Linked DNA regions of Chlamydomonas reinhardtii. The protein of the gene in region 1 interacts with the protein of each later gene in a pairwise test. Links are inferred from orthologs where the notes say so. Each region holds a gene or a part of one and is shown on either strand. Other genes may lie near its edges.

The links.
Region 2: the proteins of CHLRE_09g398650v5 (region 1) and CHLRE_12g485750v5 interact in binary tests that used the Arabidopsis thaliana proteins (3 or more experiments, as listed by UniProt). The link is inferred for Chlamydomonas reinhardtii from reciprocal best matches to the Arabidopsis thaliana genes AT1G03910 and AT5G63440.

The regions. Positions count from the first base shown.
Region 1 is NC_057012.1:1,344,559-1,351,994, forward strand, and holds the start of CHLRE_09g398650v5 (uncharacterized protein), read left to right. Parts: upstream 1-2,960; 5' UTR 2,961-3,110; coding exon 3,111-3,275; intron 3,276-3,539; coding exon 3,540-3,695; intron 3,696-3,874; coding exon 3,875-3,946; intron 3,947-4,402; coding exon 4,403-4,513; intron 4,514-4,719; coding exon 4,720-4,872; intron 4,873-5,059; coding exon 5,060-5,148; intron 5,149-5,432; coding exon 5,433-5,629; intron 5,630-5,845; coding exon 5,846-5,952; intron 5,953-6,151; coding exon 6,152-6,283; intron 6,284-6,712; coding exon 6,713-6,898; intron 6,899-7,066; coding exon 7,067-7,341; intron 7,342-7,436. UniProt on the Arabidopsis thaliana protein: Plays a role in pre-mRNA splicing by facilitating excision of a subset of introns. Required for embryogenesis.
Region 2 is NC_057015.1:1,687,030-1,694,405, reverse strand, and holds CHLRE_12g485750v5 (uncharacterized protein), read left to right. Parts: upstream 1-3,271; 5' UTR 3,272-3,438; coding exon 3,439-3,550; intron 3,551-3,646; coding exon 3,647-3,761; intron 3,762-3,998; coding exon 3,999-4,140; intron 4,141-4,399; coding exon 4,400-4,591; intron 4,592-5,129; coding exon 5,130-5,300; 3' UTR 5,301-5,675; downstream 5,676-7,376. Other genes in the region: CHLRE_12g499301v5 (uncharacterized protein), read right to left, coding at 1,040-1,306, 1,476-1,553, 1,884-1,964, 2,164-2,232, 2,429-2,551, 2,719-3,000; CHLRE_12g485800v5 (uncharacterized protein), read left to right, coding at 6,075-6,224, 6,537-7,175. UniProt on the Arabidopsis thaliana protein: May play a role during early embryonic development. Probably involved in pre-mRNA splicing.

The DNA.
Region 1 (7,436 bases):
ACTGTCTTGCGTGCGCTTCCTGGGCCGCCATGCCCCTCTGGTGCACACCACTCCCACCCCCGCCCTCTAGACACCTCTGGATATATGCATAGTAGTCGCCAGCATCACAACGTGGCAAAGCAGCCCGCACACGGACGTCGCCAAGGCGGCACCCAGCCCGGGGGTGCGTGCAAGGCCACGCGCTGCGCCCTGAGCCGGCAGGGGCTGCCCGGGCTGACCACGCATGCCGCCATGGCGTGTCCGGCTGGCACAGAGCCCGCGCATAGCGATGCAGGCGGCTGTGGGCAGCCAGCAGCCGCCGACACGCACCCACCCATGCCGTTCGTCGCCCACTGCCGCCCACTGCACAAGCGCAGTGCATCCCCAGTCGCGGCCCGGGCGTGGGACTGGTTGAAGGGGCGCCGTCCCACGTCAGGTAGTACCCAGAGCCTGGCTGGCAGTGTGGGGATGCGCGGAGGGGCGGAGTGGACAAGGCGCGTGTGCAGGTATGCGTGCTTCGTGTGGGGGGCCTTGACGGCGGGCGGCTCGTCCGGTGCGGTATGGGCCGCTCCCGTGCCCTGGAGCCTGTGCGCCGCGCCTGCCCGGCTCTCAGTGCTGAGCCAGCCTAGATGCCATGCTATAACGGCGCTCGGGCCGCCAGGAATCCACACGGCCGGGCCACACGGTGTCCGGGCGCCCGGCCACCCCACACGGCGCAGGGCCCACGGAGGGTCCCAGCGTCCGCGCGGCTGCTGCAAAAATGCCCAGCCCTGATTCTTTCGGACGTGTGTCCATAGAGGCTTGCTCGGAGCTCCCTGGCCGTGCACGGGGGCCATACCTGGCGCGTGGGTGGGCATGTTGACATGTTTGCCGGGTCCGCATTTCGTTAGGATTCGGGCTACCCCCACTTCAAGGCAGCTTGTTTGCGGTCATTTGAGGCGACCTATATGCTCATATGCAAATGGAGGAACCGACGCCAGGAAAGTGGCGACTTTTAGACGGAGCCTTCGCGGCTCGCGACCGGGCCGGCCGCGCGAGAATTGCGAAAACAACTCCTGAGGCCAGAACAAATGCCGCTCAACCAGTGCGACCTACGGCTTACACATATACCTGTATATCTAATTTCTAACAGCGCTCGCCAGCACCGCCACAATCGTGTGCCAGGTCGGGCCGTGGCACGGTGCCCGGGCACTGGCCCGCGTGCGCTTCCTGGGCCGCCATGCCCCTCTGGTGCATACCACTCCCACCCCCGCCCTCTAGACACCTCTGGATATATGCATAGTAGTTGCCAGCATCACAACGTGGCAAAGCAGCCCGCACACGGACGTCGCCAAGGCGGCACCCAGCCCGGAGGCGCGTGCAAGGCCACGCGCTGCGCCCTGAGCCGGCAGGGGCTGCCCGGGCTGGCCGCGCATGCCGCCATGGCGTGGCCAGCTGGCACAGAGCCCGCGCATAGCGATGCGGGCGGCTGTGGGCAGCCAGCAGCCGCCGGCACGCACCCACCCATGCCGTTCGTCGCCCACTGCCGCCCACAGCACAAGCGCAGTGCATCCCCAGTCGCGGCCCGGGCGTGGGACTGGTTGAAGGGGCGCCGTCCCACGTCAGGTAGTACCCAGAGCCTGGCTGGCAGTGTGGGGATGCGCGGAGGGGCGGAGTGGGCAAGGCGCGTGTGCAGGTATGCGTGCTTCGTGTGGGGGGCCTTGACGGCGGGCGGCTCGTCCGGTGTGGTATGGGCCGCTCCCGTGCCCTGGAGCCTGTGCGCCGCGCCTGCCCGGCTCTCAGTGCTGAGCCAGCCTAGATGCCATGCTATAACGGCGCTCGGGCCGCCAGGAATCCACACGGCCGGGCCACACGGTGTCCGGGCACCCGGCCACCCCACACGGCGCAGGGCCCACGGAGGGTCCCAGCGTCCGCGCGGCTGCTGCAAAAATGCCCAGCCCTGATTCTTTCGGACGTGTGTCCATAGAGGCTTGCTCGGAGCTCCCTGGCCGTGCACGGGGGCCATACCTGGCGCGTGGGTGGGCATGTCGACATGTTTGCCGGGTCCGCATTTCGTTAGGATTCGGGCTACCCCCACTTCAAGGCAGCTTGTTTGCGGTCATTTGAGGCGACCTATATGCTCATATGCAAATGGAGGAACCGACGCCAGGAAAGTGGCGACTTTTAGACGGAGCCTTCGCGGCTCGCGACCGGGCCGGCCGCGCGAGAATTGCGAAAACAACTCCTGAGGCCAGACCAAATGCCGCTCAACCAGTGCGACCTACGGCTTACACATATACCTGTATATCTAATTTCTAACAGCGCTCGCCAGCACCGCCACAATCGTGTGCCAGGTCGGGCCGTGGCACGGTGCCCGGGCACTGGCCCGCGTGCGCTTCCTGGGCCGCCATGCCCCTCTGGTGCATACCACTCCCACCCCCGCCCTCTAGACACCTCTGGATATATGCATACTAGTCGCCAGCATCACAACGTGGCAAAGCAGCCCGCACATGGACGTCGCCGAGGCGGCACCCAGCCCGGGGGTGCGTGCAAGGCCACGCGCTGCGCCCTGAGCCGGCAGGGGCTGCCCGGGCTGACCACGCATGCCGCCATGGCGTGTCCGGCTGGCACAGAGCCCGCGCATAGCGATGCAGGCGGCTGTGGGCAGCCAGCAGCCGCCGGCACGCACCCACCCATGCCGTTCGTCGCCCACCGCCGCCCACTGCACAAGCGCAGTGCATCCCCAGTTTGCGGTCATTTGAGGCTACCTATGTGCGAAATGGTAAATGTTTGTTATGTGGTACAACCATAACACGCCGTGCACGGTTACTTTATTCCTGCTGCCCCAGCCGCTTGCCTGTACTCCTGCGGCGTGCCGTCACTGCCGTGCCTCTCATCGTGCCGCCCCCATGCTCGTGTGTCAGATTTTTCCCCACTTGGCAGTCGGCAGGCCCCCACGAGTTCCATAGTTGTTTACTTTTCACATAAAGGACAGATATGGTTTAATCGCGTTTGACAGCACGAGACCGAGTCGGAAGAAGCAACTGTCACTGCCATCTGCCACTGCATGTAAAAATGAGTCTAGCACAACGTTGATCCCTACTTGAGCTCTATTAACTTGCTTTTGCGCCTAGGCTCGGCGAGCCTCGGAAATGGGCAAGACGGACAAAAAAGAGAAGAAGGACAAAAAGGAGCGCAGGGATAAAAAGTCAAAGAAGGAGCGCAAGGAGAAGAAAAGCAGCAAGCGATATGAAAGCTCTTCCAGCTCGTCTTCTTCTGAGTCGGAGGGCGAGCAGCATCGCCGCGTGGATAAACTGGTAAGCTCTCAATGATACGTAAATTGAGCTTCCGAGGCTTGCTTTTGGGCTTGGTGGCCAAGATCCCGAGTTTAGTTTGGCTGCGCTTGCCGCGCACTGGGCTGTACAGGCACCATAACAACTGTAACAATGCCTTTGATGTCGGGAATGGATATGAGGTATCCTGAGCTTGGGCACATGCAGTCGGCACCGCCGTGCCCCGTCTGGGCCCGCACTCAGGCTGGCAACCCCACTGCCCGCGGCCGTGCTTCCTTGATTGCGCAGGCCACCAAAGTGGCGGCCCACCTGCAGCGAACGGGCGCCAGCACGGGTGGTCCCACGTTTGTGTGGACTAAGAAGATCGAGCGCGAGCTGGAGAGCGGCAAGACCGTGAGGGACATCGCCAACGCACAGTCGCGCATCTCGCAGGCGGAGCGCATGGTGAGTGGTCCGGGCTGCGAGCGTAGTGTTGGGGAAGGGTAGTTCAGGGCGGGTGTAGGGGCTCTTCATGCTGGGTTGGTGTGCCCTGGTGCAAAAGCATTGAGCAAGGGCTCGAGGACAGGTGGCAATGACGCCTGAGGCCTGACCGCCCCATCTGCTCTGCATTGTGTCCATCGCAGGAGGAGATTGAAAAGGTCCGCAAGCGGCAGGCGGAGCGCGAGGAGGAGAAGGCGCGCCGCGAGGAGGAGCTGGTGCGTGCGGGTTGGGTCATACGCGGGCCACGGGCCGGTCGGGCGGTGCTGAAAGTCCGGACCAGGTAGAACTTCATCAGTGGGGTTGGGTGTTAGGAGTGGCATGCAGTGGGCTGACCTTTGCCAGGGGCTTGCTAGGGGCTTGCCAGGGGCTTAGTAGGTTGTCGTGGGCAGAGTCTATCAAACTCGGTTGGCGGGTACGGTCGAGGCTCGCAATCGGGGGTTGTCAGCTACCCAGCTGCCCAGGGACATCTGCGTGGCGATTTCACGTGATATGGCGCTGGTACCGGGCAAGAGTGGGACCCGGACGGCGACGGGCATCAGGGGCCCGGGCGGACTGCTCCGTAACGCCCCTCAGCCCTTGCCCACAGCGCCTTCCCTTGCGGCATGACTCCTGCCCCATACCTGGGCTTGGAACTGACTAACCCCTCCCTCCCAACACCCTCACTCGCGCAGTCTCTCATCCAGCGGCTGCGCGCCGCCCAGGAGGCCATGGAGAGCGAGGCCAAGGAGGAGGAGTTCTACCTCAACGCGCTCAAGAACAAGGCGGAGAAGCGGTTCGCAGAGGTGAGGGGGCAAGGCCGGGGTGCAGGCGCTTGCCCAGGCGAGGGAGCGGGTGAGGAGGAAGAGTCGCGGGCAAACGGGCGTGCGCCTACTGGGTTATCATTCTTATCAAGCCGAAACCATTACCGTCACGTCATCGACCGCCGCCGCTTACACCACCACCATCGCGCCTGCCACCAACTCCGCCCCATCCCGGCACCACCCCTTAGGGCCGGCCCAGCTCCATCGATAAGATCGCCAAGAACCTGCACGAGTCGCTGCACGGCGTGTACGGCTGCGACATGACGGAGCCCTGGAGCTACTTCGAGGGGCTGCTGCTGGACGAGGCCACCGAGCTGCACCAGGGCATATGCGACTACCAGGTGCGAGGATCATGCGTGCGGGGGTAGGGGCGCGGGGAGGAAAGAGGGAGGCGAGGGAGGCGCTCACCGGTCGAAACAGGCACAACCGGGCTAGCGCAGAAAGTTGTGCCTAAGCTCTTGCCCGGAAAGCAACAACAACAAACATCCGGTAACGGGAACCACCACACCTGCTTTCACGGCGCCACAGGAGTACGACAAGTACGACGACCTGCATCAGAAGTTCTGGGCGGCGCTGCGGGTGGTGGCGGACGCCGAGCTGGAGGAGGCCAAGAAGAGGTGCGGGCAGGGTGCGGTGGGGGCGTTGGGGGCACGTGGAGATGGATGAGGAGCTGGCTTGCTGTGCTTGCTAGGGGCCTCGGACGGGTGGGCGTCACGACCGCCGGGAAGGGTTGCTTGGTGCACAGCGGAGCAGCGGAGCAGGCATAGAGCACGTACGCATCTGGATGTGCGGTAAAGCCTCAGCCCTGAGTCCACTGCTGTCCACGCCCTCCTCAACTACACATCCCGTGGGGACGTTGCTTTTCGTCCTGAGCACGTTGCGCGTTGCTTGCCGCGTACAGGGATGCGGCCGACCGCGCCGCACTGCGCCAGGGCCAGGGCGGTGCCGGCGGCAGTGGACGCGGGGGCGGTGGTGGCAGTGGCCGGGGAGGCGGCGGCGGCGCGGCGGCCAGCGCGGCTGCCGCTGCCGAGGAGGAGGCGGCTGGGCGCAGCAGCCTGCACAGTGACGTGGAGGTGCAGATCGAGAACATGCTGTCGGGTGCGTGCGTGCATGGCGGCGTGGGAGGCCATCGCAGGGTTCTGTAGCGGGTGCCTTGGGGTGAGTGCATTTCGGCGGGCGTGCCTCGTCAGTTCGTCAGAAACCTCGTGACTTGACCGTGCCCTGATGAGCCCCTAGACAGACACAAGAAAACAGGCTAGCAAACAACCCCGCGTGCCCACGCACCTGCACCTGACCACCCGCCCGCCCGCGCAGGCCAGACCTACCCGGCGCTGGTGGCCATGGAGGGCGACGTGGAGCGGGCGCTGTCGGGCGGGCTGGGCGACCCGGAGTACTGGGAGGCGGTGCTCAAGAGGCTGCAGGTGAGTGTGGCGTTAGGAGCGTTGTTTGGGGTGGTGGGGTTGTCTCGCCATTTCCAGCAAGCAATCGGAGACACGAGGATGCATACCCGGACGAGCTGTCCGGTGCGTCCGCAAGTGCAGTGCATCGTCCTTGCCGCAACTGCGCCCCTGATTTCCCGTGCCGCGCCACGCCTGCCCGCCTGCCCCCGCCTGCCCCCAGGTGCACAAGGCCAAGGCCCAGGTGCGGGAGCTGCTGGCGGCCTTCATGCAGCGCCACATCAGCGCAGAGATCATCAAGCGCGAGCAGGCGCGAGAGGAGCGCAAGCGGCAGGCGGAGGAGCGGCGGCAGCAGGTGCGGGCGTGTAGCAGGGGAAGCGGGCGGGGTGCGGGCAGGCAGTCGGGCGGGTTGCGGGCGCGCACCGGGCGGCCGGGCGCTATAGTGGTCATTTGGTGGGCGCGCGCGCTGTGGATGAGGCTTGCAGGCCATATGTACAGGAGCAGCCATGGGGTATGGCTAGCCGGAAGGACGGCGGGTAATAAGGATTGCCGGGACAGGGGATGGCTGGCAGAAGGGCACAGGGAACAAGAGCTGTCAGGGAGATTGTCAGGCAGCGGACAGTCGAGGCAGCGCTGAATAACATCTCCGGGAGACATCTCACGTGCCCTTCCGCCTCGCGTGCATGCTTTGTGGGCGGCATCTCAAGCGCGTTTGACATCCCCAAACCTTCTGCCCAGTGCTGCGCGCTGACCCAGTCGCGGCTGTCGCCCTTTCCTTCTTCAGGCGCTGGCGGAGGGCCGCGACCCCGCGGAGTTGGACTTGGAGGAGAGCAGCAGCGAGGAGGAAGAGGAGGAGGAGCCGGAGCGGCCGGAGAAGCCGGAGCGGGGAGGCGCGGCAGGAGCAGCTGGAGGGGCGGCGGGCGAGGAGCGGAGACGCAAAGAGCCGGGCACGGGGCCCGCGACCGAGGAGGTAAGTGCATGACAGGGCACTGGACACAGGGCAGGTTGGCCCAACCAGACGTGACAAGGCTCACGGCTGGAATGGGCACATTACGGCGTGTGATGTCCGTTCACGCCTAGGTCCTCACTACTCCTCCTGTCTTCACGCGCATCCATGTTTCATCCCTCCTCTGTACAGGAAGCAGCGGCGGCGGGGCCGTCGCGGCCAGCCGGCGCCGACCAAATGGATACGGACGGCGGCGCCGGCACCAGCAAGGGCGAGGGAGCTGACGGGGACGCGGGCGGCGAGGGCGAGGGCGGGGACGCGGCGGCGGGCGGCGAGGAGGAAGCCTCGGAGGAGGAGGACGAGTTCTTTGAACCTGACGTGGATGCTGACGGGCGGCACAGCCCGCCGCCGGTACGGCCCGCGGAGGTGGCGGGCAAGGACGTGGTGAACGAGGAAGACGACTTCAGGTGCGTGCGTGGGATATGGGTGGGAGGGCGGGTGGGCAATGGAAGGCGTTTGATTTTAGGGCGGAGGAGTGCGTACACATGCTCTCGCAAGACTG
Region 2 (7,376 bases), on another chromosome or scaffold:
CGGAAGGACTGAGGTTGTACAGAATCTGCATTGTTGTGTCCGTCAGACAGTGTGTCTGTGTGAGTCGCTTCTTTTTACTTGAACATTTGTGATGGGCTGTCTAAGCACAGATGTGGGTGCCGGGGTCTTGGGGCGCAGCAGCTGGAAGTGTCCGGAATCACTGGAACACGTGAGTTACGATGGCCAGCATGTATGGAGCACGGAAGCGTTGGTGTGATGGTTGGATAATGGGACGAGGCGGAAAACTCGCGGTGGCTGGGTGTTTGCAATCCTGGCTTGTGTCCCACGTTCATTTCGTTGTGTGGCTACCGCTGACCGTGGCCCCGGGGCGGCAAGGCATGCACTTGATTTCCTGCCGCCCGGCCCCCATCCAACCGTTGGAAATGAATGAGCAAGCGTGCCGCAATCGGAAGCGCTGTCGACCATTGCGGTGCTCCACTGGGTAGGCACTCGCATGTGCACATGCACGGAGCCGCTGAGACAGTGCGGTCCGCCTGCACGTGGCCGCGGGTGCCTGCAGTGCCAACCGACACCGGTGTAATCGACTGTTTGTGAATCTTGCTGTGCCTCAATCCACGCCTCCCTGGCAGCAAGACCAGGAGCTCTCCTAAGCACAACAGCCGCGCAACTCACCCTTCTAGCTTGGCCATCGATGGTACAGTGCCCTCCTCTCCACGGTACTAGCCTACTAGGGCCATCCGTGGCTCTCGCCAACGCGGCGTCCCCATGGGTGTGCACACGCCGAAGCAATGTGTTGAGTTTGCGCCTAGGACAGGCGACCACTCAGGACGGTGTAAGAGGGCTAGCGCTGAGACAGGATCAACCTATCGAGCTCCTCACATCAACGGACCTAGGCCGGACGGCTGGGGAGGACAGCATCAGCCTGTCCTCCAGACTCTGCACACACACGCTGCAGCACACACATGGTCTTGCGCAGAGCACGGACCGCTGTGTCAACACGCAACACACGCACCCCGGCGGTGCGCAGTCCGCACGTGCGCACCGGTACCAAGCTCATCAAACACATGTCTCGCCAACATCACGCGCCGCTGGAAGGACCACTGCCGATCGCCACATCCCCACCACCACTGCTGCCGCCACTACCGCCCTGCCGCACTGCACCCTCACCCGCCCGGCCGCCGCCCTCGGGCGCACCGCCGCCGCCCGACTGCCGTACCGCATCGCCGTCAGAGGCGGCGGTGCCGCCACCAGCGGTGGTGGTAGCAGTGATGTTGGAGGTGCGGGACTGTGAGGTGGCGCCAGCGCTGGCGCCGGTCGCGTCCTGGTCGGCGGAGACGAAGGAGGTCTGCGTGGAGGCGGCACACGGCCAAGATTGTTGGAAAGGCGAGGGGGATCAGGGGCGTCGTGTCCAACACATTTGGCGTGTGCCTGGCATAGTCCGTGCGCAGTGCGCGTTCATGCACTACTCTTGCCCTTGCACCTAGCTACCCGCGGCCCCCGCCACTTCTCCATACCTGTGCCGCCCCCTGGTCGTATTGCTCCGCCGACACATTGCCCCACGTCTCCTGGGCATTGACACCACTGCGCCGGTCCTGTGGCGTGTGGGGTTCGGGTGTGGTCCAAGGCTTAGCCGCTTACACCAACAAACTGTCGAGTGCGTGTGCCAACATCGCTCTATAAACGATTGAACACAAACTGCCTTTCTGGTGTTCCTGGGGGGCTTCGCCCCCCCCCCCGAATCGCTGTGCTCGGGGGGCTCAGCCCCAAAAGGGTTGTTATCGAAGCGCAAGAACAGATACGAGGGCTGCCCTACCTGTGCAGGCGCGTGTCACCAAGAGCACCGTCATTGTGATGGGCGAGGACACAAACCCCCTCCTCCAGTCCTACACAGCCCTCCGCCCCCTCTTGCCCCCCCGCTGTACCTGCAGCAGCATGGCTCCAGGCATCTTGCCCTCCGCCGCCTGCCGCTCCAGAAGAGCGTCCTTGGCAGCCTGGAGCTCCTCCTGGGCGGTGGTGGGGAGTGGGTGGGGAGGGGGGCCGGGTGGGAAGTGTATAGAGACGGGGGCGCAGTCGTTTGCAATTCCGCAGGAAGTCAAGACCCGAAGCGCACATGCACACGCTCCAGGCCCTCGGCCCCCAGCCGTCACGCCGTCATGCCGGCACGCCGTCACGCCGTCACGCCGTCACACCTCCACGCCCCACCTTGGGCTTGTCCACCCGCCTGCCGCTGTCGTCCAGCTGGCTGGTGGCGATGTAGCCGCCCGTGGTGTCCTGCAGCACGTGTAGGTAGTAGCAGCAGCAGTGGGGGCAGGGCAGTAGCAGCACATGTAGGCAGTAGCAGCAGCAGTGGGAGCAGGCAGTAGCAGCATGAAAGGCAGTAGCAGCAGCAAGGGCAGAAGTGGTTGGGGCAGCCGCTGGTCGGTGGACAGGCACTCGTCAATAGCAACAACATGCCACTGTCGCTCACCATGTTTGGGCGGCGCGGCCGCGGAGTGGTGTCGCCTTGCGCCGAGCTGCTGCTGCTGCTGCCGCCGGCTGACGCACGCGTGCTTGTGGCAAAGGCGCGGTCGCTCGATGCTTTGTGCGACGGCTGTAGATGTGCGTGTTTGAACACTTTGACTTGCGCCAAGGGAGATGGCGGGGCATTTGCGTGCGGCGGGGCATTTGTTCGCGGTGGGGCACTTGCCACGCCATGCCTGGGGCCCGCGGGTCAATAGCTAAGCCCTTCGAAACTCAAGTCCCAATCCTGCCTCCCACCTGACAGCTGCTGTCGTGGAAGGCTTGCAACTGCAGTGGCAGTGGCTGCAGGGGCCGGTGGCGCGGACAGGGCGTGGCCAGCGCGAGGTGCGTCCGGGGTTGGGTTGGTTCGGCAGTAGCAGCCGTCGCCGGCGGGCGGGCGCTGAGCGGGGCTGCAGCAGTGCTCCTGAAAGCCCCGGCAGTCATGTTGCAGGAGCATGATGCATGCCACAAGAACCCGGCAGCGGCGGCGCGGGCAGCGGCGGTCGCTGGCAACAGGAAGGCGGGGCCGGGCGCGGCCATGGCCCCGGGCGCCTGAGACGACTGGCAGCTGACAGCCCTACAGCTCACTTGACATGCACCTGAGGTTCAAGGTATGGGGCTAGTCTCAGCACGAACTGGACATGGCGAGGCATAGGCGTGCATACGGGATCGCAGGCTAATAACGTATGGCACGCATACCGGGCCACCGGGAGGGGATGGCAGATGGAATGGGTTTGGCACGCCCATTCTTCAACACCCTACCTTGCCGTGCTACGGCGGGTCCTTGTTTTTAAGCACTCCGTTCTTTTAACGCACCCTTCCGCCTATAGCAGTTGAACAGTGCCCAGAGGAAGCGTAACAACACAAGAATCTCTGCAAGAATCTATCAGTTTCCAGCCTCGCAGGAGGCTGCCGCTGCGGCCTCCAAGCTGACTTGACTCTACTATACAGATACCTGACCTCCGAGCTAACTAGAGAATGCCAAAGCGCACTACGCTAACGTTTACCAGCGAGGACGGGCCCCGCGTTGACTCGGCAAAGCTTTATGTCTATCACTGCAAATATTCTGGACGTCATGCCTTCACGATAGGTGGGCTGAGCGCTGAAGCCGGTTGACGACAGCATTTTCGCGCTCACTCTCGCGTGCGGACAAGAAGTGAAATCGGAGTGCCGCACACGCACGCAGATGCTGACCTGAAGAAGATGCCACGGCGGCGAACGGACGGGGCTTACATCGTGGACACGAACGAGCATACCATCAAGCTCTACACCACGGATGGTGGGCTCAAGTACATCAAGCGGTGAGCCGGGCGAGGGCACGCTGTACACCGTGACTTCACACCGGCGCACGTAGGGGACTCAGGGGGCTCACCGGTGGTTACCTTCGCAGCGGGTGCAGGGCAGGGCAGGGTGTGGCAGGGGTGAAGGACCAAAACCAACGCAACCGCGCCTGCCTCCCTCCCTGCCGCGTATCCGTGCCCTCCCTCACTTCAACCCAACCCCTACTCCCTCTTCTCCCCCTCTCACCCAACTCGCAGCCAGAACGGCGCCATTGAGAAGCAGTACCGCCAGAACCTGGGCCAGCTGCCCATCGCCTACAAGTCCGACCTGACCAGCCCGCTGCTCTACATCCTGGACAACGCCGTCACAACCTTCTCCAACCAGAACGCGCGGAGAGCGGTGAGGAGGAGGAGGAGGAAGAGGAAGAGAGGGAGAGGGAGAGGGAAGGGGTCGTTGAGAGGAAGAGGAGTGCGGAAGGGGAGAGCGGGTGCTGGGCGGCATTCTGGGATGGCGGCACGGGCGGACGGGCCTGGCGGCTCCTTGTTGCGCACTTTGGCCCCAGGTACGGTACCACCCATTTCCAACGAGCATCCCAAGTACCCGCAGCCCACCTCCCCACCACCCCAACCCCGACCCGCCCCCGCACCCCTACCCCCAGGGCAAGCTGCTGGTGCCTCCCTGCATCACGCGCTCCGACAAGACGGGCCTGGTGGAGATGCGCATCGAGCTGGACGAGCGCTCGCACCGCTGCTGCCTGAGCCGCGTCACGGCGGACGTGGTGCGGGTGCACGTGACGGGCCTCATGGCCGGCGACGCCGTGCACGAGGAGCTGTTCGACCTCATCAGCAAGGTGCGGGCGGGGGCGCGTGTGCGTAAGTGTGTGTGGGTGGGGGGTGGGAGGGGTTATGGGGCGCTCATCGGCCGGTGGCCGTTCATGGAACAATGGGAGGGGCCTGATCCGCGTTGCTTTCAGGGGGTTGAGGAGAGGAGGGGTACGGTGGTGGCGGTGTGTGGTGCTAGCGGGTTTTTCCAACAACCAGGAGAAAGCAAAAAGAGAGAAGATCACGATCATGTGGGGAAGGTTAGGGGCGAGGGTGCAGATGAGGAGAGGGGCTTGGAGTGGAGGGAGGTTGAATGAAGGCAGGAGGAGGAGGCTGGGGAGAGGATAGGAGAGGAATGGGAAAAGCATGCCAGCCACGTTTCCCAGGCGCCTGGGCGATGGTTGGCTCGCACACTGGGGCCTCCAGGAACCCTGGTGCGAGCCCCCGCTCCCCACATGTGCCACATCTGCATGGCGGGAGCAGCTAGGCGGACAGCGTCTGCTATGGCGGCACTAGTTTCTTACCCCTGCTCGCGCCTTCCCTCCTACTGCTGCCCCCTCCCCCCAGGTGCTCAACGTGCGCCTGTCCCAGCTGGACATCCGGCGCGCCAAGCACAACCGCAACCGCATCATGACGGTGGAGGGCCTCACGCCCGAGCAGGTGTTCGAGCGGCTGAGGGAGCAGCTCAAAAAGCAGAGCACCGCGCGCGAGGAGAAGCGGCAGCGGCGGCACGGGTAGCTGTGGTTACGGAGGTGGGGCAGGTGTTGCGGCGGCTGTATAGTGCTGGGTGGAGGCGGAGATGGAGGTTGGGAGGCTTCGAAGGGGCGGGCGGAAAGCAGTCGGATCGTGTGTGGTCGTTGGCTTCAGGTTGGGGCTGCGGTGTGGAGGTAGCCAGGGCCGGGACCGCCCGGCCCCCGACGATCACAGGAAGATTTTGGAAGTGTAAGCGGAGCCTGCTGCGTCCGTTGTGTGGCACACACCAACTGCGCTGAGGACCGAACAGGTGGACATGTCGGAGCTGACTCCCGACATGCCAACGCAGTCCACTCCGCCCAGGCTGGCGCAACGGGGATGTGAGCAGGTGCTGTGAGTTATTTGTAACTGCTTACTATGAATGGTTTAACGCAGCGATAGTGGCAATTCTAGGTTGGCCTCGCGGATGGTGCGTGTCGCGCGAGCGGTCGCAGTTGGTCGCGCGCGGGCGGGCGAGCCTTCGCTCTCTTGCGCGAGGAGCAGCTCAGTATTGGTATAATTGTTGCTTTGAATTATCGCAAGCAACCACTCGACTGGTTCCACCACTCGCACCACAACCACCGCTCGCGACCACACAGGCGCGGCTGTGCCCCATGCAGCCCGACGTCATAAGTGCGTCCGCGCGCCACCAAACACTTCATATTATGCATTGGGGCTCCATACAGTAGCGACTCTATACGTGACACTACACTTACCGTGAACGCAAAACACCTAAGTGCTTGAGCCTCTATTGTCCCAAAGCCCCGAACCCCAGCCGAGATGTCTGCCTTCACTGCGCGCCCTGAGGCGCTGGCCTCCAAGGCCGGCCGCCGCACTTTCGCCCGCAACACTGAGGCCCTTCGCTCGCAGCTGCTGGGCCTGCCCAAGCGCTCCAGCCGCGTGACCGCCAAGTACTCGCCCAAGCAGCTCGTAAGTGATCGATCTGTGCTGCAAAGCTTCAACACACCAATAATATCAGTGGTTATAAGGGATAGACATGGCATTGGGTATTTTTGAGGGCTTGGGTTGTCGATCTGCTTGGGCCATCGCCCACGTAGGCTTGCGCGTGTGGCCACCACCAGCCCACACATGGCCGACCCACTGAATGCATTTGTATTACATGTGTGGGGATATGGGAGCCGAACAGCGGTCCTATGAGCGCTCGACCGGGGCTTCGCGACTGAACCACACATCGCGACGAATGATGCTGAGCCCTTTCCTTTGCTTGCATTGCGCATTCAGAGCGAGAACCTGGCCTCTGAGCTGGTGGCCAAGCTGCCCAAGGCGGCCCTGGCCTCCCTGCTGTCCCTGTCCACCGCGGGCGTGGCCACTGCTGCCGACTACTTTGCGCCCCCCACCGACGCCAACACCACGACCACCACCGCGACAACCCAGGCCCCCGCCTCCATGAACTTCGCCTCCTCCGCGCCCCTGGCTGCACCCGAGGTTCGCTCCGAGTACACCCTGCCTGAGGGCAACCAGTGGCGCTACTCCGAGTTCGTGAACGCGGTCGAGGCCGGCAAGGTGGAGCGCGTGCGCTTCTCCAAGGACGGCTCCCAGCTGCAGCTGACCGCCGTGGACGGCCGCCGCGCCACCGTGGTCCTGCCCAACGATCCCGACCTGGTTGACATCCTCGCCAAGAACGGCGTGGACATCAGCGTCAGCGAGGGCGACCAGCAGGGCAACTACGTCGCCCTGCTCGGCAACATCCTGTTCCCCCTGATCGCCTTCGGCGGCCTGTTCTTCCTGTTCCGCCGCAGCCAGAACGGCGGTGGCGGTGCCGGCCCCATGGGCGGCATGGGCGGCGCCATGGACTTCGGCCGCTCCAAGTCTAAGTTCCAGGAGGTGCCCGAGACTGGCGTGGTGTTCGATGACGTGGCGGTGAGTTACAGGGCTTGGGTTGGGAGGATGGGTGGTGCTGGTGGGGATGTTGGGTTGATGGGTACTGGGGAATGATCATATGAGCATGGGTCATAGGCTCTGAAAAGCGCTGGGCTGGACTCTGTAGCACGGCTATGCAAGGCGCTCGACAGCAGCAACACGCCGACCGCATACTACCTTGCTTCGACACGGCCTCATCTC